4 linked regions of the Diceros bicornis minor genome follow. The protein of the gene in region 2 binds, or shares a complex with, the protein of the main gene of each other region. Links are inferred from orthologs where the notes say so. Each region holds a gene or a part of one and is shown on either strand. Other genes may lie near its edges.

The links.
Region 1: MED26 (region 2) and MED19 share a complex: the UniProt entries of both Homo sapiens proteins name them as parts of the mediator complex. The link is inferred for Diceros bicornis minor from reciprocal best matches to the Homo sapiens genes MED26 and MED19.
Region 3: the proteins of MED26 (region 2) and MED21 are in contact, whole or in part, in a cryo-EM structure (PDB 7EMF), measured with the Homo sapiens proteins. The link is inferred for Diceros bicornis minor from reciprocal best matches to the Homo sapiens genes MED26 and MED21. Residues at the interface, in NP_004822.2 of Homo sapiens: Ser481, Arg482, Asn483, Glu484, Ile485, Ser488, Tyr489, Ser491, Arg492, Ser495, Leu496, Ser498, Ser499, Ser500, Leu528, His529, Ser535, Pro537, Thr538, Asp539, Leu540, Pro541, Gln549, Asp551, Leu552, Ile555, Gln556, Trp560, Gly562, Val563; in NP_004255.2 of Homo sapiens: Ala2, Asp3, Arg4, Leu5, Gln7, Asp10, Ser14, Gln18, Asn21, Gly24, Val25, Gln28, Cys29, Tyr54, Leu57, Phe58, Leu61, Arg64, Thr65, Lys67, Asp68, Val71, Leu72, Asp74, Ser75, Leu76, Pro77, Ser78, Glu79, Glu80.
Region 4: MED26 (region 2) and MED31 share a complex: the UniProt entries of both Homo sapiens proteins name them as parts of the mediator complex. The link is inferred for Diceros bicornis minor from reciprocal best matches to the Homo sapiens genes MED26 and MED31.

Annotation. Positions count from the first base shown.
Region 1 is NC_080770.1:16,251,818-16,259,622, reverse strand, and holds the start of MED19 (mediator of RNA polymerase II transcription subunit 19), read right to left. Parts: upstream 3,006-7,805; 5' UTR 2,923-3,005; coding exon 2,655-2,922; intron 1-2,654. Other genes in the region: TMX2 (thioredoxin-related transmembrane protein 2), read left to right, coding at 3,315-3,503. UniProt on the Homo sapiens protein: Component of the Mediator complex, a coactivator involved in the regulated transcription of nearly all RNA polymerase II-dependent genes.
Region 2 is NC_080759.1:4,774,156-4,781,322, forward strand, and holds the start of MED26 (mediator of RNA polymerase II transcription subunit 26), read right to left. Parts: upstream 3,004-7,167; 5' UTR 2,759-3,003; coding exon 2,687-2,758; intron 2,662-2,686; exon of another isoform or gene 1-2,661. UniProt on the Homo sapiens protein: Component of the Mediator complex, a coactivator involved in the regulated transcription of nearly all RNA polymerase II-dependent genes.
Region 3 is NC_080756.1:35,909,460-35,916,980, forward strand, and holds the start of MED21 (mediator of RNA polymerase II transcription subunit 21), read right to left. Parts: upstream 3,012-7,521; 5' UTR 2,987-3,011; coding exon 2,945-2,986; intron 1-2,944. UniProt on the Homo sapiens protein: Component of the Mediator complex, a coactivator involved in the regulated transcription of nearly all RNA polymerase II-dependent genes.
Region 4 is NC_080757.1:13,085,222-13,092,385, forward strand, and holds the start of MED31 (mediator of RNA polymerase II transcription subunit 31), read right to left. Parts: upstream 3,005-7,164; 5' UTR 2,925-3,004; coding exon 2,897-2,924; intron 2,043-2,896; coding exon 1,965-2,042; intron 1,678-1,964; coding exon 1,581-1,677; intron 1-1,580. Other genes in the region: C18H17orf100 (uncharacterized protein C17orf100 homolog), read left to right, coding at 3,378-3,761. UniProt on the Homo sapiens protein: Component of the Mediator complex, a coactivator involved in the regulated transcription of nearly all RNA polymerase II-dependent genes.

The sequences.
Region 1 (7,805 bases), on a different chromosome or scaffold from region 2:
GATTGGCCCTGAGCTAACATCTGTGCCAATCTTCCTTTATTTTGTATGTGGGACACCACCACAGCATGGCTTGACAAGCAGTGCATATGTCCGTGCTCGGGATCCGAGCTCACGAACCACCAGGCCACCGAAGCGGAGTGCGCAAACCTAATCACCATGGCACCGGCCCAGCCCCTGCAGATATCTTTAGAAGCAGTACTCCTCAGTTCAGAAATCTCAATGGTTTCCTATTACCCCCAGGAAAAAGCTCAAATTCCTTTGGCATTTGCGGTAAAATACATCTTACCGTAACTTAGCTTTGGGGCCTGATCAACCACTACTGCCCTGTGCAAAACTGCTGATCCATCCAAATGGGTCTCCACCATCTCCTGAAAAAAACACCCCTCATACTGTTTCCTTTTAGGAAATTTCTTTTAGGAAAATTGACCTAATTATAGGAAACTTCCTCCTAATTTTCTTCACTAATATGAATTCTTCAAGGTCTAGCTCAAGTGACAACTTATTCCTGCTGTTAACTTGGATAACAAGGGACACATTTTGAAGACCATGATGTAGTTCTTAATAGTTGTATGTGAGTCATGACCACAAAGTAATGAGACTGGCCTTGACAAGAAACAGTCACTACTTTATCCTTAGACCACAACTTTGCATCCCTAAGTAAAATAAGCTCCTTAAAAGCAAGGACCGGGCTTATTAATCTCTCTCCCCTTCTCATCACATGTCCCCTTTCCTACACATCCAGCCTTTGCTCAAAACAGATATTCAATATCTGTCAAGTGATTGATATAAAAAGGTACAATCAGAACAGGTAAGGTTAAAGAAACTGCTGGTAGACATCAACCACTAACCAAAGAAAAGTCAACCTCTCTGTGCTTCAGTTTTTTCAACTACAAAATGCAATAACAATGCCTATCTCGAGGGGCTGTTCTAAGTATTAAATACTATGACATATATAACTGCATTGTCAACTTCAAAGTACTGTACCAACATTCATTATTATTTCCCTCAACTCTTGATGTGGCAGTAGGTCATGGGATGAAGTGAAAGGCATCTTGAAGACTTAACATGTATAAGATGACTCTTGATTTCCACCTCCTCAAAGGTGGAAATCTTGTTTCCACCTTCCATCCTTGTTCTTTCCTGGTCTTAGCACTACCATCCACCCAATCATTCAAGCCAAAAATTTCCAAATCATTCTCAATTCCTCTCTCCTTCATTTCTATATGTAGTCCTTCATTCCTGCTCTACCTCTAACATTTATCCTGCATCCACTTACTTCTCTCCTCCACTGCTATTGCCTAGTCCAAGCCATTATCTCTTTGCCTGACTACTAAGCAGTAACTCTCGACTGATTTTCTCACTTTGCTTTCTTAATGTAGCTGCTTGAATGATTAAAAATAAATAAGTTATGGGGCTGGCCCTGTGGTGTAGTGGTTAAGGTCATGCCCTCTGCTTTGGCAGCCCAGGGTTCGCAGGTTCGGATCCCAGACACGGACCTACACGCTGCTCATCAAGTCATGCTGTGGCAGTGTCCCACATATACAACAGAGGAGGACTGGCACAGATGTTAGCTCAGTGACAATCTTCCTTAAGCAGAGAGAGGAAGGTCGGCAACACATGTTAGCTCAGGGCCAATCTTCCTCACCAAAAAAATAAAATAAAATAAAAAATAAGTTAGATCATGTCACTCTCCTGTGTTAAAATGGCTTCCCCCTGAACTTAAAATCTAAATGCCTTACAAGGCCTCTGCCTATTCCTCCCACCTTCATCTCCTATCACTCTTTCTTATGTTCAATTCACTGGAGACCAACTGCTCTTTGGTCCCTCAGATATTCCAAGGTTCTTCTCACATCAGGGCTTCTGATCTCATTTCTTGTATCTAGAATTATCCCTCCCTCCCACTCATAAATGCCTGACTCTTTCTCTGTGTTTACATTTTAGCTCAAATGTAATGTACTCAGAGAGGACTTCTCTAATCATTCTAGCTAAAGTAGTTCTGCCCCCTCAATTTTTTTATCACGTTTTCTCCTTGTAGCAATAACCACTGTCTGATATTATCTTTTTTACTTTTTGCCTCCTTCGCTGACATATAAACTCCAAAAAAGGCAACGATCTTGTGAGTCTTGTTCGCAGCTGTATCTTCAGCATTTAGAACAGTGCTCGGTACACAGTAGGTGCTCAACAAAATAATTTTTTGAATGAAAGAATGTTGTTCAATTCGAATCACTTCTTCAAACAGCTGAGGAAACGCTGAGGCCCTGAGGAGGGCAGCTTGCCCCAAACCGATAGCAAGTTTGTGGCAGACTTGGAACTAAAACCTTACGTCCGCAGGGATGTTAAATCAGGACTCTCGAGTTCCAAACTCGAACCCTGGATAGCTTCTAGGGAGCCATAAACCAGTGTCAGGGACAGGGGCCGGACAGGGCGTGAAAGATGATCACGGGGATGCATTCTTTTCCCATCCCCAATCCATCCCAAGAATTCATGCCATTCCTTTGCTTGTGAATCCTCAGAACCCTTCGGACTTAAGAGCTCCAAAGTCCCAGAACGCGTTGCCTAGGTTACGCCTCACCTCCGCCGGCGGGCTGAGAGCCACGCCCCTCACTTCATCGCTATGATCTGATTGGCTGGTTTCGGCCAGGCCTAGTACTCACCTGGCAATTCCCGCATTAGGTAGAAGGGACCGCAACCCGCCGCTGACTTGTCGGCGCCGGGAGGGGCCGTGGCTGCGGTGGGGGGCGGGGCCGTGCCGGGTCCCCCGCCCGGAGGAGGGGGAGGCGGGGGTGGAGGCTTTCCCGGTCCGAAGCCGAGTGCGGTTGGGGGCGGTGGTGGGTCAGCCTGAGCCCCGAACAGCGCCGTGAAATTCTCCATCTTCCCCTCCGCGCCGGCGGTGTTCGGGTGTCTGGCGTTGGTGATTCTCATTGGACAATCCTTTTACGGGGTACCGCCCCCTTCCTCCAGGAGCCGCTTATCATTGGATTGCCTCGGGCCCCGCCCACTTTCTTCCGGCAACTACTTCCGTCGCTGTTTGAGAACGTTCAGGAAGCGCTGTCTAACCATATTAAATTCTTTCTGATATCTTCGCTTGCCGTAGTCACATGTCCAATAAAATGTCTTGGGGCGGGAGAAAAGCGACAGCTAGATTGACCAATAAAGTATCAGATCCCTCTCTCAGTTCTTACCCACCGTAAAGTCCAATTAGATCTAATTCCGGGTCCAGAGGCGGTGCATCCGAGACCAGGCCCAATGTGGGGAGAGACGGTTACCTGACCAACCGACGCCGAGGAGCTGCGGGCTCCGCAACGGCCGAAAAGATGGCGGTCCTGGCGCCTTTAATTGCTCTGGTGTATTCGGTGCCGCGACTTTCACGATGGCTGGCCCGACCTTACTACCTTCTGTCAGCCCTGCTCTCGGTGGCCTTTCTACTCGTGAGGAAGCTGCCCCCGCTCTGCCACAGTCTCCCCACGCAACGCGAAGACGGCAACCCGTGTGACTTTGACTGGGTGAGCGACCCCCGCCTGAGGACCCCGCGACCTTGACTTCCCTGCCCCCGCGGTTGCATCCGGGGGCCTTGAGGTTCCCCTTTTTGAGAACACCTGAGGTTCCGAGGCTGTAGCGGACTTCCAGACCATTAGCGTGTAGGGTCGGACCGTCATCGCTCTAGACCTCTGCATGTTTAATTAAGATGGGAAAACAGCGGGTTAGTCTGCACAGAAGACAGCCTGGGTCTTCTGACTCTGGAGTCCAGGGTTCTTTCCATCTTACCATTCATAGTTGTCAATAGCCCTACCTAACAAGACCCATGTACAGTGTTTCACAGTGCTGCTCATATGGAGAGCCTATTGAGAGCCAGTGAGGTAAACAAGGCAAATGGTATTTACTTTTTATTGATGAAGAAATTGATCTCAGCGTGGTTTGGCGACTTGCCCAAGGTCACACAACGAGTGAGTGCCTGGGGTTTGAAACCACTCTTCTGGCCATAGTACCTGCACACTCACAGCCATTTCTTAATTCAGTTAACATTTCCAGAGTGCGCGCAGTATGCTAGGCACTGTGCTGCATCCTGAGAATGCAAAAATGAATAAAATTGTTAAGCCTATTGAAAAGGAATTGTAAAAAATATCTTGTAAAGAAATCTATCTCAAGCCTCTTGCTGTACTTCCTGACTAAGAATGGAGGGACCACTCAGAAAAATGAATGGAAGCTCTGTGCCCTCTGGTGTATAGCAGCATCTGTGTTCTGAGGAAGGAAGGTCATCCTGAGTTTTCATCTTGTTTTCCAGCCTCCTCAAATGAGTCTTGACCTTTACTAGAACCTACTCCTTTACTTTTATCCTCCGTCTCTTGTTTACTTTTTAATGCTTTGTCTGTCCTTTCCCAGACAGTATTATCAATTAGCTCAAATGTTGCCATGCTCTTTCAAAAGATCCTATCTTTGTCTGATATTCTATACCACTTTAACCAAAATGGAACTCAAAAATATAAGTGGATAGTAATAAAGATTTTAATAAATGTAGAACCTTTTATACAATTAATTTCTTTGTATACTCGTCTAATAATATGCAAAATATTGGAAGGTTTTATATTTTATTATTACTCTGATAGAATTTTTTTTTTTTAACTACTTCGGGTTTATGGCCAGTGTTTGTTTTCCCGGAAAATACGTGTTTTACTGATTTACCTTGGTGATTGGGAAGTTAGGATGTTAAGGTAAATAATGTTAGCAATAACAGGTAAAATTCAAAATTTCAATGGCTTAACAGAACAAAAGTTTATTTCTATTTTATTAAATAAAAGGAAAGAAGCATTTCACGTTTCTTAGATATACTGTGTTTCAGAGTAATCAAATAATTGATAAGAGAATGTTGATTTCTTAATATAAGAATTTGGGTTAATACAGAAGGAATGATAGAATTTAAAAATTATTTAGTAGCCCCAATGAAATAATAAATCGAGGCAATGATCATCGGTGGATGCTAAAACCATCAGATGAAAGGTTAATGTGTCCTCTGAAGTGATGCAGTGGGGAGTACTTAGCACCACCTATGATACATTTTTGGCAAAAAATTTGGATTTTATTGTATTCAGACCTCTAGATTTCATTAGCACTTTACAAGAAATATGGGAGATGGAGGATCATCATTAGAAAAAAACATACCATGAGTATGAAGGCAGCCAAATCTTAAAAGCAAGAATGTTGACGGTGCAAGTGACTCAATGCCTTCAACAGATAAATGGCTGGGGGGTAAAAAGGAAGGGCAGATATATTAGAGATTAAGGAAGAACAAGGACACACATCAGCCAAATGCAGTACGTGGATCTTGCTTGCTTGTTCCTGATTTGAACAAACAACTGTAGAAAGACAACTTGAGATAATTGGGATCATTTGAATAATGACCAAATATTAGATGACAGTAAGGAATTATTGTTAATTGTGTAAGGTATGATAATGGGATTTTGGTTTGTTAAAAAAAGTCCTTATCTGTAAGAGATACACACTGAAGTATTTATAGGTGAAATGATATCGCTGGAATTTGCTTTAAGTTTCCCCAGCAAAAAAAGTGGGTAGCATAGATGAAATAGAACCATTTTGGCAAAATGTTACTGTTGAAGCTGAGTAATAGGGGTTCATTAAAGTATTGTGAGGAGGAAAATTAATTTTCCCTCTACCCTTCTGAGGGCTTGGCTGAAACCCCTGTAATAAAAGACAGACTAGATAATTAAAAGACAAATAGAAGTTTATTAACATGTATGTCTCATGTATACATGGGAGATACCAGGGGAAAAGGAGTAACTCAAAGGGGTGGCTTAGAACTCCACTTATACAGCGTCTTCAGCAAAGAATGATAAATTTGTCAAGAAATGGCTGGACAAAGGAAAGCAGTTTTAGGCTTCCAAGGGCGACAGACTGTGGGAAAGTAAACTAATGGTAGGTAAAGGCTAGTTTGCTAGGTAGATTGCTCTGGCGCTGTCTCCAGGCTGATAGGGTCTAAAGTTACCTCCCTTGATTAACTTTTGTCCTTCCTGGTAGAGAGGGTTGGAGGGATACCTTTGAAAATTTATGTCCTGCTTTTAGACAAATGGGGAGAGTAGGCAGCTTTTCTTTTATCTACTTCTCAATTGCCTTCAGGCTCAAAATAATCCTTATGCCAAAGTGACATATTTTGGGGTGGCATATTCTGTTACTCTTCAGTATCCTCTCTATCCTTTTGTATGTGTTTGAAATTTTCTATAACAAAAAGTTTCAAAACAATGAATGAACAAGCAGAACAACCAAGGGACCTCTGCTTCACACAGTTATTCTGGAACCCAGTCTCATTCTGTCTTCAACCTATGGCCTTCCTAGCATCATCCAGCCAGCGGATGCTGAAAGAAAGCTGGAATGCAAGGATACACCCTTTCTTAACTGCCTAGGCGCAGTGGCACATCACTTCCACTCACATTCTGTCCAGGAGTACTAGTCATACAGTTCTGCCTAGATGCAAGGAGACTGAGAGTCTAGTTGCAATATGCCCAAGAGGCAAAGGAAATAAGGTTTGGAGTATACATAGCCAGTCTTTGCCATAGACCCATTCTCTATCTTTAGAGAATATTCCTTTTAGTCTTATCTTTGGTCTTCTGATTGACCACAGCTCCCTTTTAAAATTCATCTTTCCACAATTGTAAATCCCAATTCTAAACCAATTTCATTCATGGAAACTCTTCTTCATTTTTGCTGAGGTATAATATTTAGTAAGGTCTGTCATCTTCCTTAACCCCCACTTTACATGTCCATTTCTAAATCTAGTCAGTTACTTTTTGTTGGAGATTGAGGCTAAAAACCTAGGTCCCTGACTCCTTCCTGTAAATTGCTGTTGACCGGTTCTGTCTGCAGTAATGATTTGGGTCCCTGTATTACAAACAAAAGGTATGGAGGCTTTGGACCATCAAATCTATAGTTGCTCCTCCTCCCATGTTTTTTCTCACATGGTTTTTGCTATTCTTCATTGTGGTCTTTACTCTGAAATTGTCTTGTTTGTTTCTTTGTCATGTTTATTGTCTGTCTCACTTGCTCATAATGGAGCTTACATTCTAGAAGGTGAGAAAGAACTATAAGCCAAGGGTACTGAGAAGGGCCTTTGAGAGCTCTGAAAGCCCTCCTTCAGTTCTCTAATTAAATTAAAGGTGCATGGATTATCACGAGGATTATTAGGTGGAAAGGAATGACTTAAGTTAAGCAAAACCAAACAAATTGAATAACCGTATATTGTATTAATGGAATATTACTGAGAAAATTCCCTGGAAAAGTTTTATTTTTCCAGGATCACACTGAGTTGGTTGTAATATCTTACAGTTTTACACCATATACTTTATACAATTCTTTCATACCAGTTATCTCATTTAATCCTCACAAGAGCAATTTGAAAAAGATCTTGTTCAGTCAAGGAAACCAAAGTCAGAGGTTAAGTGATTTACTGAAAGGCACCAGCCAGTTTGTGGTGGGGTAGAACCTGAACCTAGATCTGACTGGTGTTTTCCCATTATACCTTAGCTGACTCCAGTTATTTCTTTATTGTTGCTGTAACCATGGGCCCACTAGGACCAGTTCGAACTGACCCCTTCTTATCAACAGAGGAGTGATTAAGAGTTATTTTTCAGAGGCAGTGTGCAAAAAAAAGTTGCAAGTCACGTAGCCAGAGCACGTGCAGAGGAGAAAATCTTGACCTGAAATGACACCAGAACCAAAGATTCTCCCCCACCACGGAACCAAAGGACTAGGACATGACCGGAACTTGCAAGTCGGACTCTTATCAGAAGCGAGGAGTC
Region 2 (7,167 bases):
AAAGGAGTGTAGACGATTTACTTTATTACTGAGCTGGCAGAAATTATAATTTATAGCCTGCTGCTGTAGAAATTCAAATACTCCACAGGCTAGAATTTAGAGCACAGAAACAACTTTCCTCTTAACAACTCCTTTGTCAAGGAGACGGTCAGTAAACGTTACTTTGTTACCTCTCAACTTTCTAGATACTTCTGGATATTAGGTCAGCTGCCTGACCAAGCAAAAGCGAAGTTTGTTAACCATAATTGCATGCCCATAAAGGTAAGCATTACACGACACAATTCTGTCGCTTCTCTCAGAAGAGGTTTAATTTTAGTGTTGGCTCTTCAACACTGTCCCCATTTTTTTTTCCACGAGCATCTTAAATATGTGTCAACTAACTATCCGGAAGTCGAGTTCATAACTGGGCAAGGCAGAGGAGAGCAGCTGTGTGGCAGCAACACCTTGTTGGAGCCACCTCACTCTCACCTGAGCCCAGGTCATTAGTGAGAAACTGCAGACATAACGGTTGTACCATCTCCACCAGCAACCTGTTCTGCCACAGCTGAGTTTCTATAATGGGGTTTGCTCCAAGCCAGGCTCCTGTCAAATGGCTAGTAACAATGCTCACCGGTGGTTGCTTACAATGGCAGCATTTAGAAGAGGTACTTTCCTTGCTGCACATATTCAAAGAGACAATTTCCCAATTCCATCCATCACACTTATGTTAGTAGGTAGGACTCAACGTACACCTATCACTAGAAACCCCAAAAGAAGCCAAATGAAACATGAATTCCATCCCATGCAACACAACCACGGGCTTAAATAAATGTAAAGTTTCTGCACACACCAGGCGCCAAGATACACGAAACTGGATTTCTTCCCTCCTCCTGCTTCTGGCCAGCCCGTCATCCTCCTCTCCCTCCTCTACTCCTAGGAAGCCTTTAGATTACAGCCTTATAGAACACCGGAACCTCGGAGGTCACTGCCCCACCTAATCTACAACATTGTGACCGCCTGTCAAAGTGCCTCCTGATCCCAAAGCTCTCCTAGGTGGCATTAAGGATCAGTGCTAATATCTCAGGCACCTCTCAGATTCTCTGGAAGGCAAGCAAGCACATGGAATTCAAGAAATTATACTCTGACTGGACAAAAGATACAAAAGTCGCCAATGCTATATTTTTCATATCACTTGTTTTATCCTCTAATATTTCAGTTTTGGCCACTGCAGCAGCACCACTTGCTGCAAAAATTCTGGAAGGTTTTATATAGCTTGTGCCTACTCCACCCCCAAAATCATAACAAAAATGTATACAACATTTGTTAAAGACAATTACTACCAAATCAACCTTAATGGGGACTAAAGACCAGGGATGAGAGAATTACCTATGATACAGAAATCAGAGGCTTATAAAGATCATAACTTCTCAATTTCTACCAAAACTGTACAATCCAACATGAATTATTCCAAAAATACCAAGCCAAAGCATAATGCTAAGAGGAATTAGCCAAACTCACATAAAGGAAAAGCAAAAGCCCCTACAGTGAGAGAAACCTGGGTTACCTGGCCAAGTCCAAGACAGTTTTTCCTTCCGTCCCCAGCATGTTAAAAAGAGATTCCAACTGCCACTTCCTGATCTCTCAGCAAATGCAGGGGCTCACTTCATACCTGGATGCCACTGCATCTTCCTATTGCTCAACCTGCTCCTGCCATAGGGGAAAATGACCCCTACTGCCAACAACCCTTTGGAGAAAATATGAAAACAGGATGAGTCTTCCCCTACACACACGGAGGGGGGCAGGGGACATACCTCTGCAAACAGCAGCCTCGGTGGAGAGCCATCTGAGAAAGCGACACCCTGGGGTTAACCCTGACCGTCTAGCTCACAAAGCACCAGCCTGGGACCTCCAGGTGGGGGAAGAGACAGCCGAAGGAGGGCTCATGGGGGAACAGAAGAGAAAACAATCATTTCTAATTCACTACTAAACAGGGGGGCTCTGGCTTGGTCAGAGACGCAATGGACACTTAGGCTCAGAAAGGCAACAGGAAGAATCCTACCCTCCCCAAGATTATCTTTCGTCGGCAGCGACCCCAAGAGGGATCCGGAAAAGACATGTCGACTCGCAGAACCAAGGGGGACTCTCCACACGCCGCGGGCACCCGGCTAGGGGCAAAGCACGCCGGGGGGTTTCCTTCCGAAGCCAAGAAGGTGCTTCCAGCCGGGAGAAGAGGGAAGGAGAGCTTCCCTGATCACCCAGAAGACCGAGACACGGGAGGCACCGGCTCCCCGAGTCATATCCCAGACACCAGTTGCTTCACAGCATTTCTCCCACCCCTCCCCCGCGCCGGGAGGGCTTCCCGGGGGTCGCGAGCCCCCGGGGGAGGGCGAGGCGGGGGGGCTCCGTCAGGAGCAGCGAGGGTCGTACAACCGAAGTGGGAGGAGAGGAAAAGCTCTGGCCTCACCTCCCGTCTGCTCCCTCCACCCAGGCCGCACGGAAGCCTCAGCCTCACGTACAGAGCGCCGCCGGGCTGCCCGACCTTCCCCCGGCCCGGGCCCGGGGGGCGAGAGGCCGGGATGGCAGTGGCCCTCAAGGTGAGGTGGGCGTCGGGCGGGTCTCTCGGAGCCCGAAGGACGAGGGGCACCGGGGAAAAGCAGGGTCCCGGGCCCACGCGGCCTCCGTCCCGGCACAAGCGGCGGGTACTTACGTTGCTCTGGGGGTCGATGGCCTGCAGCAGCCGGTCCCTGATCTGCTGCGGAGACGCCGGAGCCGCTGTCATTGCCTGGGCGAGGCGGGGGGTAGAGGCCGGGCCAGCGGGCGGGCGGGCTGAGGCAGGGGACGGGGGTCACTCACTCGCCGGCCTCCGGGACCGGAGCCTCATGTTCCCCGCGGCGCCGGGGGAGGAAGGGGCGCGCGGGGTGGCGGAGAAGGGAGCCGGGGCCGGGGCTCGGGCCCGGGGCGCCGCCGCCACCAGAGGAGGAGGAGGAGGAGCCGCCGGAGCCGCCGCCGCTACTGCCGCCGCCTCGAGAACCAAACTCCAGTGAGCTGCCCCTGCGCGGAGCACTCTGGGTAACCCGCGCCGCACGCAGCGTCGGCGCCACGCTGAGGAGGCTGGGAGATGGGGCGGGCAGAGACGCCGGGCCGGGGCGGGGCCCCGCGCGGGCCCTGCCCCGCCCCTCCACGCATGCGCGCACAGGGGCACTCAACCCGGCCCGGCCGAGGGAGCCGTTGGGAGGCGGTTGGGCGGGGCAACGGCCGGCGCCTGGAGGCCCCGCCCCCTCCGGGCCGGGGGGCGGAGGTTTCCGACGGAAACGCGCGGTGCGCACCGAGTTCTTGAACCCGGGCACTTCGGGCGGCTGCTTTTGGGCCGCGGGGCGGGCAGGGCGACGGAAGGACCACTCCTCGGGGAGGAAAGCCGTCCCCGCAGTGACGGGAGTCGCGGGCGGGAGAAGCTGCCAAGTTTTCCGAGCCCGGGAGTCCTTCCCAGCCCCTAGATCGGCGCTCCTGGGGGCGAGGCAGACAGACGTCCACGTTGTGCTTCTGCTCGGAAGGGTCATCTGAGGGGCGCCAAGGCCCGCCGCCCCGCCCGTCCCCTCCCCTCCTCCGTTCGCTCCTCCCCTCCCCAGGGCGCAGGGGGCTGCAGTGCCTCCCGCGCCCGGATCACGAAAACGGGAGACAGTAAAGCGCCTGTTGGAGGAGCCGCCAACCCGGCTGCAAAAGCTCCAAAGCCAGCGCCATGAGCTGAGCCCGAGGTTGCAAACCTGTGTCCACGCCAGGGTTTCTTAACCTGGGCACCAGGGACATTTGGGGCCGGATCACTCTGTTGTAGGGGCCGTCCTGTGCATTGCAGGACGTTCAGCAGCATCCCTGGTCTCTACCCACTAGATGCCAGTAGCACCCTCTCCTTCAGTACGGACAAACAAAAATGTCTTCAGTTATTGCTCGGTGTCCCCTGGCGGGCAGAATCGCCCTCTGTTGAGAACCACTGGTTTAAAGGACCCTTCCACCCTGCTTTGCATGGAGGAGGAAAGTGAGACCCAAGGTCACCCAGAGTTATAGGTCAAACCCAGAATTGTTAATGTCAAGTCTAAGGGCTGCCCCCCGCCGCTCCCCACCCCACCTTGCTGCCTTCTTTCACTGCTGTCTCTACTCTCTCTCTCTGGAAGCTCTATTAGAATGACTGTTATGAGAAGGGGTGGAAAAGCAGGCTGAGTGGATTATCGGCCTGCAGCCTTGGGAGAAATAATTTTCGTTGTTAGAGGAAGACCTAGATTTAAAACAGGAGAGAGGCAGCTGATGAGAACCACATGTGCGCCTTGGATCTGTGCTACACCTGTTAGTCTTGCATTTGTCATGCTTCTGGGAAGCATTTTTATTTGCAAAAATGGCTGTTTCCACACGTGGTTGTGGTTGCTTGCTTCTGCACATGTTAAAAGTTTTATATCACACTTGTAGGAGAAAATAAACATGGGCAAAATACTTCTCTTTAATTTACTCTCTCCTTCCTAGAATGAAGTGCTTTGTGTATGTGGTGCAAGTTGGAAACCAGCCCACCTGGAGATATTCTTTCTTACTTCAGATAAGCGAAATAAACAAGCTCTCCCCAAGTATATTCCCACCCTACTTCTCTTTTTAATATCTAACTCTGATGTACACTATCTTATATATATATATATTTTTGTGTGTGTGTGTGTGTGTGAGGAAGATCGGCCCGGAGCTAATATCTGCCAATCCCCCTCTTTTTGCTGAGGAAGACTGGCCCTGGGCAACATCCACACCCATCTTCCTCCACTTTGTATGGGACGCTGCCAGAGCATGGCTTGACAAGCAGTGCATCAGTGCATGCCCGGGATCCAAACCGGCGAACCCCGGGCTGCTGCAGCGAAGCACACGCACTTAACCGCCTGCGCCACTGGGCCGGTCCCAGTATCTTATTTTTTAATCAAGGATTACATAGAAATAAGCAATTTGTTTTGCATGAGTCAGGTTGTTTAAGTAAAATTTGGAAAGCACTCAACTTACCTGTTTTTTTTTTTTAAAAGATTTTATTTATTTATTTATTTTTCCCCCAAAGCCCCAGTAGATAGTTGTATGTCATAGCTGCACATCCTTCTAGTTGCTGTATGTGGCACATGGCCTCAGCATGGCCAGAGAAGTGGTGCGTCGGTGCGCGCCTGGGATCCGAACCCAGGCCACCAGCAGCAGAGCGCACGCACTTAACCACTAAGCCACGGGGGCGGCCCATTACCTGCTCTTTTTAAACTAAGAAGAAATATGAACATTGTGAGGTCTGCAAGGGCACTGACTCCACTCAGTGTCCCAAGTAGACAGAAAAGAGCTTATTAAATATTTGTGAAATAAGTGAATGAACATCTCATCAGATACACGGCAACTGTATACACACACTCAGACATAGGTATGCAGTTCAGTTCCACAGATCCGGCACCCAGTGGGGCTCAGTAAATATTTAATGAATGAATTAAATATTAAATATAATACTATATACACATGAGGATGCACATAGATATATACAGTTTTATTTCACATTTAACTTATATAAAAGGGTACTTGTAAAGATTAAATCAGATGGCCACTGAATGGGAATCTTGAAAAGGTTAGCATCTTCTTTTAGGTCCAGAATAGACACTGCAGTTCACCTAGCAGACTTTCTGCTTCGAAAAAGAGACTCTTGAATGGCTCCTATCAGTTATGCAAAGGTGAGGCTCAGGTAAATCCTCTTGCTGTAATGTAATGGTTCTTCTCCAGCAATATGTCCCTTATATTAGGTACAGAGAGCACTGGCCCCACTGTCCTGAGAGGCCAAGATCTTTTGTACTTGGAATGCCCTTGAAAAGGCTGCCTCACTTCTTAGCAAGGTGGCCTCCACAGAGAAGAAACGGCTCTGACCCCATGACTTGCTCTTGCCATGGGAAGTGGCAGAAAGGCAGTTTCAGGAGCCCCAGTGCAGAGCATCCTCAGCCTGGCCTGGAGTGAGGGAGTGGGCTTGTTCTCCTTTGACAGACTGCGGTGGCCCAAGCCGGACACGCAAGGGTGTCACAGAAGGAAGCCGTGAGCAGGCCAGCTCCTACAACTGCACAGGACCAGTCTTCAACAGCAACCCCACCTGGCGGCAAGGAGCAACAGCAGGAACGCACCGGGCAGATGCATTCCTGAAGGGAAAAGCAACTGTGTGCCCCTTTAGACACATAAACCCCTGGGAGTTACTGGACTTAACCCAATAAGGTATGTGAGGGCTCCGGTGATTAATAGGAAAAAAAAAATGTTTGCTCTGAGTTTAACAGTCTGATGGGAATTTTTAAAAAAACACTCTCTTGTGTATTAACTCATTTAACCACGTCAACAATCTCAGAAGTACCTAGAGATGGGTTTCAGAGTTCTCCTCGGCTATGTAGCAAGTCTTGTTTACTCTCAAAGTGAAACCAATTTCAATTGGTTTTGAATAGCCCTGAAACGTCACTGCTTTTAGGAAGGGCTTCAGAGATAGACAAGAGAACTCAAACAATTTTTATTGTGTCTCCAGGTAGGGGGATGCAAAGATGCACAAAGCTTGCTCCTGAGGATCTAGTTTTGAAGCCAAGCACTGGAAACAGGTTGGGGGCCCATGAATACAATACCATAATTGTACTGTCTGAGCAAAGTGCAGCAGAAACACCAAGGAGGGGCAAGGCCATTCTGGACAAGCGTAATGGGAAAGATGTTTGACAAGGAGGCAGCATTTTAACTGAGAGCGTTCCCGTATGTTCATGCCCCCTGACCCAGTGTTTTACAACTTCTAGAAATGTATCTGAAGGAAGCAATCAGATGCAAACAAACGTGTATGTACATGGAAGTTCACGGCAGCACTGTTTATAAGGATAAAAGACTAGAAGCAACCTATGTGTCCAGTAATAGGGGAGTAGGTAAATAAACTGGGGGTCAATTTGTGAAAATGGGAAGGTTATGGACTGAGAGGGACCACAGGATTCTATAATTCCATCTGGGTGGTGGTCTTGTCTCATGAGTGTATGCAACATAGAAATTCATCAACCTGTACATTACTGTAGATTAAATTTCAAAAATAAATATATAAAAGGATATAGACATATACGGATAGACAGATAATCTAGCCATTAAAAACCAGTATTGAATAACATGGAAAAATGCTCCCAATTTAATATTAAATGATAA
Region 3 (7,521 bases), on a different chromosome or scaffold from region 2:
AAAGAGCAAATTTGACTGGCAAATATCTAAGTATGGACCCAGGGTAAATAAAAAAATGTGTGACTCTTGTACAAAGTATACAATCCCTTTTCTGAGACCAGAGTAGTCTCAAGCATAAAGAAATAGTCGGGGTCTGGCCCAGTGGCATAATGGTTAAGTTTGTGCGCTCTGCTTCGGCGGCCAGGGGTTCACAGGTTCAGATCCCGGGCGCAGGCCTATGCACCGCCTGTCAAGCCATGCTGTGGCGGCGTCCCATATAAAGTAGAGGAAGATGTGCACGGGTGTTAGTCCAGGGCCAATCTTCCTCAGCAAAAAAAGAGGAGGATTGGCAACAGATGTTAGCTCAGGGCTAATATTCCTCAAACAAGAAAAAGAAATAGTGGGAAAAAGACTGCACCTTAAGTATTCCAAAATGTTTTTCTCCATGACTCAAGTTGTAAACTCCCGGTGCTCTAAAAGTATTCCTTAAGCAGTTTTGAGATTGAGAATATCAAGTCCTTACCATCTGCAAACTTAACACTCCTATCCTCCCCACCAACTTCTCTCAATAGTCCTGACCTCTCAAATTTCAATATCTTATTTCCAATCAGTGAATAAGCATTTCCACGAAGTCTCTCTGCCATTATTTGAACGACAGAACTCAGTCAACTGTTTCCTTTGTTTAATATCTAATTTGTATTGAGACTCTCCTAGTCAACCAGTTTAACTTCAGACTCTTGGTTTCCTTTCATCTTCAAATCCTGCTAATACTACACATCTTTCCCTCTTCCTTCTATCATCACTGCTGCTGTTTTAGTTCAACCAATTATCTCCCATAGGAATTGTTACAATAGCCTCCTTCTTGTTTTCCAGTTCACTGTTATTTTACCCTGCTCAAAAATTTTGAGCTCACTCCAGCATGGTCTTCAAGATAAATCTACTACTCTTCAAGCTGTTTCAATAATCTAAGTCAACTCCACTTATTCATTTTCTACCACTCCTTCATATATACCTGACCAGTGATGAATTCATTTCCGACTACACCGCTTTGCTCACCTTTCCTTACTGGTAACAGAGCAGTAGTAAGTGCTCAGAGGATGTGGATTCTAATTCTGGTTCTAGTAACCTGAGTAGATTTTTTTCATTTTTAAATTGGGAACATTCTCATATTACAGTATTCTTGTGAGGAACAGAGAACACACACACACACAAATTCAACACAGTGGCTATCTGCTCTGTCCTTCAAAAGCTCTCAAGACCCATGTATTCAACAAATATTTATGGAAAATCAACTCCATGACAAGCATTGTACATAAACATTATAGCAATACTGTGAACAAGAACTCCTCATGGAGTTCTCAGATGGTAAAACAAATGTTATTTTAATAATTTTACAAATAATTACGATTCAGGTAAATGCTAAGAATCCCTCTATTTTAGTTTATATCACTCTATATTCCAATTTACTTCAGCACTGACAGCTGAAAACACTTGATTCATTATAACTCCCAAACCACATACTGCTTTCGTATTATTTAAATGTCTCCAGTATATGACATCTTTCTAATCAGACTGTAAACTCCTTAAGGAGCATCTCTCTGTAAACATGGTAGTGCTTATATACACAGCAGGCACTCATGCTAGTTAACCTAGATGCTTCTCTCCAAAATCCAATTATCAGCACGCCCACCCTGGAGTTAAGGCCATATTCACTTTGTCCTTACTATCCTTCTGGCTACAAGACATGCATGAATATTTCCCCTAAAATAACATTTCTATCCAGCAGCATCATTACAATTTGATTTTGTAAAACCTCAAAGGAGTATCTTCCTGAGCGAGCTTGGCGGGCAGCCCAGGTAAGTCACCGCAAGGTTGAATTTATCTTGGTGAATTCATCAACATTTAGAAGGGATGGCCCTCTCTTTTTTAAAAGAGTTTATTTTATACACACACACAGAGTAGATCAGTTTCTCAGCAGATTCACGCTCTTCAAGTGTACTAAGATTGATGTAATAACCAGAATCCCAACTTGCTAGCTTCCAATGAGAAAAAACTGGCAAGGAACCAAATACTTAGATTTTCCAGTCAACATATTCTCTCTCTATAGGCATCTTACCTGGGACATCAAATAACAGAATGACCATGAGAAATATAACTACCAATGGAAAACTATTTAACTTAATGGTAATAAGTATATGAACCCTTGGTTTGCACATACTTTCCACTTAGGCATAACAGGAAAAATAACCAGAAGGATCAAAGCAAAGGGAGCTACTTACAAAACTTGACCTTTAATAGGGAGTAGTACTGGGGAGACATTAAAGAAGACTTAAATAAATGGGAAGGTATACGAGGATTAGAAGATTCACTAGCACAAAAATGTCAGTTTTCCCCAAAATGATTTATGCTGGGGAGAGGACAAGAGATGGAACAAGACCTTTGGTCTCTAGGTACCAACTAAGATGAAACAAAACTTCTCACCTCACCATCACTCCCGCGCCATCCTGAAAGTTTTGGCGAAGGAATACTCTCGGCTAACACCCAACGACAAAGAGCCAATCATCAAGAGCACAGGGTTCCCTCCAGGGGTGAAAACTGACAACGGGGAAAAGAGCTTCTGCTGCTTCTCCCCTCCCCCAAAAAGAGAAGAGACCCCATAAGCGCCACTGACAAGAAAACAAGACTGTCCCTGGAGAACATGACAGGACCGTGAGGCTTTGGTAGAGAGACCCGCCACTTCTCAGGCCAAAGAGGCTGCTCCCTCCCGCAGCCCTCCGCACCGCCGGGCAGCCGGCCTCAAACGTCCCCGATCGCCGCGGCGCCTCCCGCCGCCCCGAGCTCTTACTGCTCAAGCCCTGCCTCGGTCCGCTCCCCACTTCCGGGTTCTGTCTCTCGGGCCCCTTTTCCTCCCTCACTTTACCTCGGGAAAGAGGAAGACAGAGACTAATCGGGTGAAATTGCTCACCGAGTTCACGGCGTCCTGGAGCTGTGTGAGCCGATCCGCCATGTTCCTCCCGCAAGCAAAAGAACGCGAAAGCAGCTGCTCGTACGCGATTGGGCAGCTCTAAGACGCGTCCTGGCCAATCACAGGGCTACGTTCTGGAGGGGGTGGAGTCAAGCAGAACTCCACGCCCGGCGAGGAGAGGGCGGGAAGTTCCCGAGGCTTACCTTGCGGAAAAGATGCGCTGGGTGCAGGTCGTTCACTTGGGGGTGTCCCGGGTCCACTCGGTTTTGGGGCTAACATACAGTTCTCGAGGTTTTTAGGAGTTAAACACTTTACGGAAGTTGTTGGTCTCTGCCGTCTTTAAAAGTTAATTTTCCCTACCCTCCCATATATTCATTTTTAAAATCGCCCTGAATACTTATTTTACGTTGCTCTTGCTTTCCAGGTGGACCACGAAACACATACCGTACAAAGCAAGCAACTCAAGAAGACTTGGGACTCACGATACCGACTTTAACTTCGACAAATCCAAATTAAAACTCACCAACCAGGAAGGGCTGGGTTAGGGTGCCTCCTCTGTTGCTTTTGGGTCCCGAGGGACTTACCCAAGTGGAGACTGGGTACGTGCTTTAATTCTGAGTGTGGGTGTGTTGCGGGAGCTGACACGCGTGAGACGGGAAGCGTCCGAAACAATTAAATACTAAACTGAGCTGTATTGGGTGTGTCGGAAGAGTAAGGAGAAAGAAGGTCTCCGCGGGCAAAAGTGAGAGGAGCGTTTGGAGTTAGGTCAGCTGTGAGCGTAATAAGCATCTCGTCTGTATGACAGCGAGGAACTCAGTGTGAGGAACGGAGGAGGTACTAAAGGAAAGTTAGCCTGGGGATAGTCTGGAAAGAAATGAGCGTGGAATCTGCAAATAACTTATTCGTGGAACTCACATTCCCTCTTTCTCTGGCTGTTTATCGCTGATTACCCTCCTGGGTTTGAGGGAGGGTGGGGGAAACTATCCATGCGGAACTCAGCTTGTTGGATTGACCCCAACCGTAGCTGGGAAGCTCCACTTCCGTTTCACCACCCCTCCTGCCCCATCCCCAAACCATCTTCATGCCTCCTGGGACCTAATTAGGAACCTCTGGGTGAGGCACTTCCTCCATAATGGGATTAATGAGAGGTAACTCTAATGTGCTTTAACTGTGGAGTAATGGAGTAATCTATGACGTTCTCTTTCCACCACCAGTTGAGTGTACCTTATGGAATACCTGCCCTGTGAGAGCAGGTATGTTGGGTGCTTGGTTTGCAGAGATGAATTAGTCAGGGACTCGCGAGGAGAGTTTTGCAGTTATCCAAGAATGAGATGAGTTGGGCTTAGACTAGGGTGTTGATCCTGATCAGAGAGGAAGGAAAGGCTATTTGTGGAGGAAAAATTAACATGGGTTGGTGACTGGTTGGATATAGGGGGATGAATGAGAGGGCCCACTAAAGGAGAATACTAAATTTTATAGCTTGATTGAAGAGATCTTGGGTGCCTAGGGTAGAGGAGCCATTTCAAGACAATTCATATTATGACATAGCTTTTGTCCTGTTGTCTTCCTTACAGGTTTTCACCAGCTCCACAGAGACTTCAGGTTGATGTCCAGCCGTCTCTGCCTGGTTTTCAAGGTTCACTGTAATCTCCTCAGCGCAACAGATCCAGCCTCATCTCCCAATAATTTTCTGAGTGAAATAATCACTTAATATTTTTCAGCCATGACCCTGAACCCTTGGTTTTCCTGGGCTTCCTAAGCTTCTTTTGGCCAAGGACCCCTTTAAGAATCAGATGAAAGCCGTGGACCTTTTCCCCAGGCCACGCTCTCAAAATTTTGCATACATTCTTAAGGGGTTTGTGAATCTCTTGAAGCTGTAGATTTCAGGAAATACCTTGTGTGCCAAATACAATCTTATGTGTCTAGCTTAGGATTTCTGACGAGCAATTTCTTTGCTACTATTTAATTCATACTCTATCTTTTTAAGTTTTACCTTTTTCTTGTAAATTTTATGAATTACAAGAGGCAACATGGCCTTCTCCTTTCTCCCTTTCATGATTTTGACACTTTTCATATGCTTTTTCATTTGCTTCTCTTGCATCTCCAACTGGATTATATGGTTTTAAAGCAGGAACCCAGTATTATATATTTCTTATCTTTTAAACATGTAATTTTGGTAAGTTCTTTCTTTTAAATTTTATATTATTAAAAGTTTCAAACATATGCAAAAATAGAATAGTATAGTGAACCCTCCTGTACTCATCACCCAGCTTCAAATATCAACTCATATCCAATCTTGTAGTAAGTACCTTGATTAGATTTTAAACCTGCAGTGACTCCCTATTTTTTTCAGAAAAAGTCTTTAACTTGACATCCTAGACCTAATACCTTTATTACCCACTCAGTCACAATTTATTAAACATTTAAAGTGTTCCAAGCACTGGACTGAAACACTATAAATAAGGATTTGCTGTTCTAGACTCCTTGCAGTTCTCTAAACATGCTCTGCTGTTTCACACTTCTACACACACCATTAAGACACATAATTCCTCTTCCTTGCATGAATGCCCACATTTCCTTCCATACCTCCACTTTGTTTCCTTGTTGATCATCTACTCAGCCCTCAAACCTTATTTTAAACATTTCTTTCTTTATAAACCCTTCCTGAACCCTGAATGTAAATTAATTACTCCCAATCATTACCATAATTGTTTATTATACTTCTATTGCATTTAGCACACTGAGGTGTAATTACTCATACAGGACTCTAATTCACTCACCACCATGAGCTACTTGTGGGCAGAAAACATATTTTAATTGTTTCCATATCTCCAATACCTAGCACCATTTAGCCTGGCACATAGAAGCCACTGAATGCATATTTATGGATTGAATGAATGAATTTCCTAGCATAATTATTTCCATATAACAGTTCCTAAGTAAACATTTATTGAATTTAATTTAATAAACACAGTCAAAATAATGTAAATTACTACCCACACGAAGAACGTGAGAGTTAAAAAATACAGAACGAAGGTGAGATTAGAGTGGGATAGGATAAACGGGCAAGTTTTTTTCTGCCTTTCCCCTGGATCCTTGCTCCCATCTCCATCCAAGGTGTCTTGGATTTTATCAAAAATCTAGGATAGGTGGCTTGCCTTTCTTCCTTTTCTAAACTTTAAGCAGACTTTAAGGCTCTAGTTACCTATATCTTGGATTGGGGAATATTTTCCTTTCAATTCATGGGGATGACAAACTCATCTGCAAAGCTGCTGAGCCCGTTTGCTTCTCAGGTCTCCACTGGAACTCTGACATGAGCAAGGAACCCCAGCCAGTCATCCTCCCAAGCTGTCACAGTAGTGCACAGCAAAGGTAATGAGGCCCTCTTCTGATTGCTGACACATTGGTCATCAGCTGTCCTCTGCAGGCAGAGGCAACTGCATTGCAAAGGTATTGCTGGGGAGAGAATAGGGTTAGTTTAGGGAACTGAAATTAATTCAGTGCAGCCAGCATAGAGGAATTTGAGTTTAGTTGCGGGAAGAACCTGGAGAGGTAGGCAGGAGCTACATCATGAAAAGCATTATGTGTCATACACAGGAAGATGATTATCCTGAATGCTTTTATAAGAAAATCTTTAAAACTATATGTATCTTTTTAAAAATTATATTTTATTTAAAAACAATACACCTTCAATGTAGAATTTTTACAAAGTGCAGAAATGTGCAAAGAAAGTCGTTCTTAATTCAATCACCTGGAGATAATTATTTTAAACATCTTGATATGTTTTTTCAACCTTTCTATGCATATTAACATGAATGCATATTAAAAAGAAAACAAAATAAGCCTAATACTATATATATTTATTGCTTTGTAACTTGCCTTTTCATAAACACTTCATGATCAATCACTTGCCTTCTAAAATGTGATTTTCAAAGAGCTACACAGTATTCTATTATACGGATGTATTACAGGTTATTTAATTCTTTATCGTTAGGCGTTTAGGTTATTTTAGGATTTTTGCTATTGTAAATAACACTTTGATGAACAGTTTTGTACACTAATTTTTATACGTATATCTAATTTTTATACATATATCTAATTTTTATACATATTGACATACTTAAATCTAAAAGTAGAATTATCATATCAAAGCTATGAATACTTTTAAGATTTTTGATACAGATTACTTTATACAAAGTTATATGAAATTACACTCCCATTAGTCCTATCTTAGAATGTCTACTTCTCAGCTCTTTCATCCACACTGGATGTTCTTATTCTTTTAAAATATTTACATTTTTAGTTTCTTAATTTGATTTTTTTGTTACTAGTGAGTTTGAACTTTTTTCATGTGTTTATTGGCCATTTGTATTTCCTTTTTTGTGTGTGTGAAATTCCTTATTCATGTCCTTTGCTAATTTTAATTTTTGGTCATCAACTTGACTTTTTGTATTGTTTATGGTGTTTTTTGACTTTCATAAAATTTAAATTTTTAAGTAGCCAAATCTACCAATCTTTTCCTTTAATCTGCCAATCTTTTCCTTTATGGTTTCATCCTTTGCTTTTTTCCTTAGCAC
Region 4 (7,164 bases), on a different chromosome or scaffold from region 2:
AACAGATCTATCATGATGGCTGTAAAGATAATGTAGGATGGAGGTTACAATAGGAAAGGCACCAACAAGCCCCTCTTATCAGAAGTTCTGTCTCTCTGGCCACATTCTCTGGATGACCCTGCGAGGAGTTGCCAGACAATCATTTACATTTATAAGGGAAATCTCCATTTGTAAAGGTATCTCCCTCTCTGTTTTGAGAAGAGAGGGGGATGGCCTCATTTCTAGAGGCTTATCAATGTGGAAGTTGAGGCCTTAAAGCTGCATAATAACCTTACTCTTGTTTACTGTGCTTTAGTGGTAATCTCCTGTAACTGACTCCCCCAACCCCCAAAATCCTCCTTTGTCATTGGCTGAACATGGTATTTAAAACGAGAATTTCTGCTATTGTGTTGAGAAACGCAGTGTCCCTGCTTTCTCCCATGTATACATGTTATTAAACTTGGTATTATTTTCTCCTGCTAACCTGTCTTGTTAATTATTTGGCCAGCCATAAGAACCTTAAGGAAAAGGGCAGAGGGAGATTCTCCCTCTTCCCCCTAAAACTACATACATATAACATGTTGCAATCTAATAAAAAAGTCTCTTCTCTGGATTATTAAATGAATAAGTGGTTGTTTATAAAGGGCCAGTAAGGGTGCAAAGGGTCCTGCAGGCAGCAAGAGGATGTGGGCTCCGTTAATCAGTTGTTTTCTTAGACACAGATTAGAAAAGTGACTTGGATAAAGTACAAACTTGAAACATCTTCCTCTCCAACTTACTGTTTGTTTAGGGAAAAAAAGACAAAAAGTTTCACTATTGCTTTTTAACTACCTGGTTAAGACAAAGCAGAAATATGAGTTCAAAGTTTATTTTTTACCATTAAAAAGGAATAGGTTTGTGATTATAATATGCTTCTTTCAATTTAGTAAGCCTTAAAATGACATCTGTTGCACAACCCAAGTGCTAAATATACATATATATATTTTTTTTTAAATAAGCACAGTGCTTGGCACATAGGCGGTCCTATAAAAAGACAGCAGCTATTAAGACTCAGGTAAGGTTACCTCCTCCGGAAACCTTCCTTAGAAGTACCCCTTTCTATGTTCTTTAATTTTCAGCCTATGGCTATGTCATTGCATTTATAGATTGTGGGTTCCTTGGGATCAGAAATCCAGTGAGATGGGGTACAAGGTAAGGTCAGACAGTTCAGGGCCAGAATATACAGGGCTTTAGCTCAAGAAAAGAGACTGTATTTGATTCTACATGCAATGGGAAGCTACTGAAAGGTGCCAAGCAAGAAACTGACATGTTGCGATTTACATTTTTTTAAGAGATTAAGTTGGCTTCTGAAAATTATTTTGCTTTGTTTGGCTTGGCAGGGGCAGGGGGGTAAGAGTGGAAGCAGGGATAACCCATGAGTAGATTACTGCAATAATCCAAGTTAGAGATGAATGTGTCTTGTATTAAGGTGGTGGCAACTAAAAGAAGTGGAGAGATTTAAAATATATTTTTTCCAATGTGAAACTAAGAAGTCTGTTGAATACAGTGTTTTGGAGTATAATAAAGTATACACATATTTAGGACTATAAAATTAAACTTACTTTAGATACTTGGCATATTCTGGTTCTTTCCAGTAAAGCAAGTACTTAAGGTAATTAACAAAAGCTTTGTCTTTGAAGTAACCTCTTTGGGCAAGAACTGAAAGGCATAAGAAAAAAAACACATCTGTAGAGCAAACCAATCCTTGAACTACTGATTTGTAACTCCTAACATAAAGAATTTACTTACATAACATTCCCACCACCAACAGATACTGAATTCAAAACACAAGTCACAGTTTGCTCAATTATATATATACCAGTACAAGTGTAGCATTAATTCTGTTCAATTGAGAACGTATAAAAGTAGTTACTATCATGAATTGCAACTCTTCTGTCAGAAATCATTAATAGCTACTTAATTCAAAGAGGTGCTCAACAACTTACAATTAAGGTAATTTGGGTTGGCTAAACACTGCACAAATTCCAACTCCAACTGAAACCGAAGTCGATTTCCAGCATCATCTAGGAGAAAAGATAGCAAAAATTATCCAAAATAAAGATCACTCTATATAATATTGATTTGTAGAAAGAAAACAGCAGTAAAGAAAAACACGACTAATGCTGAGATTCATTTCTGCATAGAGAAGGGCATGTGATGGTTTTCCTACACTGAGTGTGGGAGAAGATAAACCTTCCTTAGAAGTCTAAGAAAAGCAAAGCCCTGATTAAAAGGAGTAAGTGAGAAGTTTCTCTCAAGTTAAAGAGACGTCATCAAAGAAAATAGGAACTCACACGGGGCAGAATATTTATCACCTGTGAGCCACTATGTAGGGATTTTTAACAGTGACCACTGGGGTAGGTTGTAATAACTGTGCCTTCCCCCATTTCAGTAATGCATTACAACAACTTGTTAAGTAATTAAGTTAAGCAAAGCTAGGTGAATGCTAAATCAATCAGGAAAACATTTAGAAAGCAAGCTGAAAAGGAGAGTACGCAAGACCAAGGAGTGTGTCGCATGTGAGAAGCGTCAGTGGCAGAATAACACACAACTTTGTCGACGATATTTCAAACTTCTGCAAGCTCATTTGAGAGGCAGAAACAAATCGAGGAACGGTTTAAGACCGAAGTCCTCTCCCTTAGTCTCGCCCACGCCGGGAAGTCAGTGTGGTCGGTGTTTGAACAACAGGTGGGGAAAAAGGATCTCCGAACAAACCAACTCAGAAAAGGCCAAACTACCTCTCAGCTTCCCCCTCCCGGTCCGAACTCCATCCCTGCCGGGAGTCAGGCCTGGAAGGAGCCGCCGGGGAAGCGAGAAGAGGGGTCTGGGCCCGCGACAGTCCTATTTGCGAAGACCCGCGACTCCCAGCGCCGCTTACCTGTCTCCATAGCGACAGCCGCGGCCATCACAAGCTAACACGGTAACTCGCCACCAGCCGGACACAGCAACCCCGCGTAGCGGCGCGGCAGGTTCCGGAAGCCGCGGCTCCCCTTCCTGTCGCGGAGCACTGTGGGATGTGGGAGCGGGGACAGTCTCGCGCCGGGGCGGGAGGCTCCGCCCATCCAGGCCCGCCCCGGCCCCGCCCGCGCAGGCTCCAAAAAGGCGAGGGGCCTGTGCGGGGGCCGAAGGAGTGCCGCAGGGGCCCGGCCCAGGATTTTGAAGGGATAGTCCAGGCCCCACAGGCCCACGTGCCTCCACGTTCTCGTGTCGTGACCCTCTCGTCCACCCCTGTGCCTGCGGTGGCGTAACACGTCATTGTGATGTCATTCCTTACCCTGTGACGTAACCCAGAGGCGTGACTGTTGAGGACCGCTGGGCTGCGGGGCCTCAGGCCTCCTTGGGCCCGTTACACTCGCGGAATGGCCGCACCCGGTCGGGGAAAGCCCTCTTCGCCCCGGGTGGAGACCGCCCGCTACCAGGAGACATCGACGGTCCGCGTGGAGAGCTCGTCCCACCGCGTGGAGACCTCCTCGCGGCAGGTGCGGACGTCTTCCCGGCAGGTGGAGACCTCCCTGCGCCACAGCGAGCGGCCCTCCCCCTCCTCCGCCTCCCCTGGGAAGTGGCTCCCGCGCCTCCTCGAGGTGTCCTCCCAGCACGTGGAGACCTCCTCGCAGCGCACGGAAACGTCCTCCCGCCACGTCAGGGCCTCGTCCCTGCGGTTGGAGACGTCTCTGCACCGCGTGGAGAGCCCGCCCCGGCGGGACAGGCCGGCTGCCCGCCAGAATGTAAAAATGGCCCCATGAAACACTTCCCAGAGGCCACGAAAGGGCCGTGGCCCGTAGCCAGGACAGAATTGCCTCCAGTGTGCAGCCAGCCGGCTGCCAAGTGGACCAGTCATCTTTGGTGTCATAGAAACAGCCCATGAATCAGTGTCAGAAAGAGCCAAGCTGCGGTTTCGGGACTCAGCTAGCACTTATTGACCATGCTGCACCTTGGACCGCACTGCCTTTCACCCAGTGAACTATTTTAACTTGAAGCCAGCACAAAAAGTTTTCAGGCCCATGATACTGTATTAAAGTGGGTTGATGGACAAAGAGGCTGTTTCAACCTCTGAGCCAGGTGAGTTTTGGATTCATAGTCCCTGAATGACGACCTTCACTGCTTCAGACTTAGGGACAGAGGGCAAACTGAAATCATGACCAGTGGAATGATTATATGCCTGCTAAAAATCTGAGAGGCAAGGAACAGACTTTCATTCATTCATTAATTCATTGGCCTTTGTTTATGTTTCACAATAATCGGTTATTTTCCTTTGCTAAGCCCTTGTATATGGTACCCCCACCCACACACTTTTTAACATAGGCCAAATTTAGTTAAAAATGAAAATTGAAGGTAAACAACAACATCAACAATCAAGCATAATCTTAGAAGGGAAACCTGACCTGAGGTTTAAGAAGGTGGAGGGAAGGAGTATTTATTGAGAACCCACTCCGTGCCAGGTGTTATTCTAGCACTTGGGCTATAGCAGTGAACCAGGCAGGAGACAGGGTCCTGGCCCTCAAAGAGCTTATGCTTTGATGAAGAGGCAGACAGCAAATGACAGAAAAAGACCGTTTGCTATTGTGATTAGCACTATGAAGGAAATAAACGGGTAGTGTGATAGAGAACGGAGGTAAGGGGGTTCTTTAGATAAGATGGTCAGGGAGGGCCTTGGTGATTAGGCAACATTTGACCTCAGATTTGTATGGATGAAAAGTGAGCCATGCAAAGATCTGGGGAGACTGCATTCTAGGCAGAGGGAACAGCAAGTGCCAAGGGGGGATGGGAGCAAGCTTGGAATGTTCAACGAACAGAAAGACCCGTGTGGCTGGAGCTTAGTCAGGGAGAGGATGGTATGGAAGGGAAGATGTTAGAGAAGTAGGCAGGGGCCAATTCATAGGGGTCTTGTAAGCTACAGTAGATTTTATTCTAAGGTCAATGGGAAGACATTGGAGGGTTTTCAGCAGGGGAGTAACATGATGCAATTTACATTTTTAAAATATCCTGGCTTCTGAGTGTAGGATATAGGATAGTTCTTGACTGGGGGTGATTTTGTCCCCTAGGGGACATTTAGCAATATCTAGAGACATTTTGGTTGTCACAATTTGTGCAGGGGTGGTGCATCTAGTGTGTAGAGACCAGGGATGATGCTAAACATTCTACAGTGTACAAGACAGCTCCCCTCCTCCAAACAAAGGGGCCTAAGTTTGGACTAACATACTAACAGACTTAGTCCAAAATGTCAATAGTGTGAGGTTGAGAAACCCTGATGTAGGGGACGGACAAGAGAGGAAATGGGAACTACTTAGGAAGCTAATGCCATGGTCCAGTAAGAGGAAAGTGGTTCACACTAGGGTGGAAGAAGTGGAGCTAGAGAAGAGAGGGCAGATTAGGGGTGTGTTTTGGAGGCAGGGCTGACATGACTGGTGGATACGAAGGTGAAGGGAAGAGGAATAGAAGAATCAAGGGTGACTTGACTTGAGCAGTTTGGTGTATGGTAGTGCCATTTACTGGGATGAGAAATACCAGGGAAAGATCAGGTTTAGGAGGGAAAATCAGTTCAGTTTGGCCATGTTGAGTTTGGGATGCCTATAAAATACCCAAGTGGAGACACTGAGTGGTGGTTGAATGCAAGAGGTTGGCTACCATGAGAGAGGTGAGGATTGAAAATGTAAAATGTGGGGTCGTCAGTACATAGATGGTATTTAAAGCCATGGGACTGAGTGACAGTCATCTGCCGGTCTGTCTTGCTCATTTTATGAATGAATTTGAGATCTTGTTCTTCAGGGAGCACCAGCTGGCTGAACCCCTCATCCTTCTGTTTCACCCCACAGGGCCTGGATTGACCTACCTAATTTTGCCTTGCCTATAGTCCTTTGGCAGCCACCAATAAGGGAGAAAGTTTGAACTAAAATGTCAGACAAATGCTTTAGAAAATGTGCCTTTCACAGGCAACATTACTTTGCTCCTGGGAAGAAGGTCTTAAAGGTTTAAAAGTTCATGTTTTTTGGGGAGTTTTTTTAGGGAGGCATGCATGGATATTAATGTGTAGTCCTAGTCCTGGGTTCTCATGGGATGACTGAAGAACCACTGAATTGATCTGTAATAGTGGTTCTCAACTGGGGGCAGTTTTGCCCCACAGGTAACACTTGGCAATGTCTGGTGATGTTTTTGTCACAACTGTGGGGGTTGGATACTACTGGTATCTAATGGGTAGAGGCCAGGGATGCCATTAAACATCTTAAAATGCACAGGTCATCCCCACACCCCCACCTCTGACAACAAAGAATCATTTGGCCCAATGTCATTTGGCCCAGTCATTTGGCCCAAATGTCAATAGTACCAAGGCTGAAAAACCCTGAAGTTTCTAGCAACTTAGAAAGTTAGAGTGGTCCTTTGGGGGAAGCACCCCACTTCGTAGCAGGGTTTGCTAGGGGAGAGGGTTAGAAGCAGTGTCCTCTGTCAGATGTCAGGGCAGGAGCTCTCAGAGGAGAGGGATGTGTTGCTTTTTGAGGAGACCCTACATTCGTGCTTTCAATAGTTTATGTGATATTTGTCGGAGGACGAAAGGAGGTCCCGTTTAGCAGAATGTGAATGACCTTGATTCTGAGGGACCTCATGGTGAGGCAGAGTACTTGCTATTGCCAGGCGCTGTGCTGAGTCGTTACCCACTTACTTCATTTAATTACAGGGGAGTGCGCTGGGCTGCCCAGTAGAATAGGGGCTCAGGCCAGGGGAATGTTGTAAAGCCCCCGAGTCTGCCCTCATGCTTCTGCCTCATACAACTTCTGCTATAGACTAATAATTAGACTTTGGAATTTCAGTCTTTGGTGAGCTTACTAATTTTTTTTAACATGGCAGACCATGTGCATTATATATGAACACTCTTAATCAGTGTTTTTTAAATGAACAAAGTAGTCACTTTTCTTCAACAATGTTCCGTGTTAATGTTTTTATTACAAAAGTGATATGTGCTTAAGTAACAAATGAAATAATTCAAGGCTGTGTAAAGAAAAATTTAATAATTTGTCATCATTGCCATTTCCATCCTCTGGAAATAGTTAATGTCAGCAACCTGGTATGTATCCTTCCAGACCTTTCTGCATTAACTGCTTCTATCCCCCTTGTTAGTAGTACCTAGAAGACTGGTGGGAAGATTACTGTGAA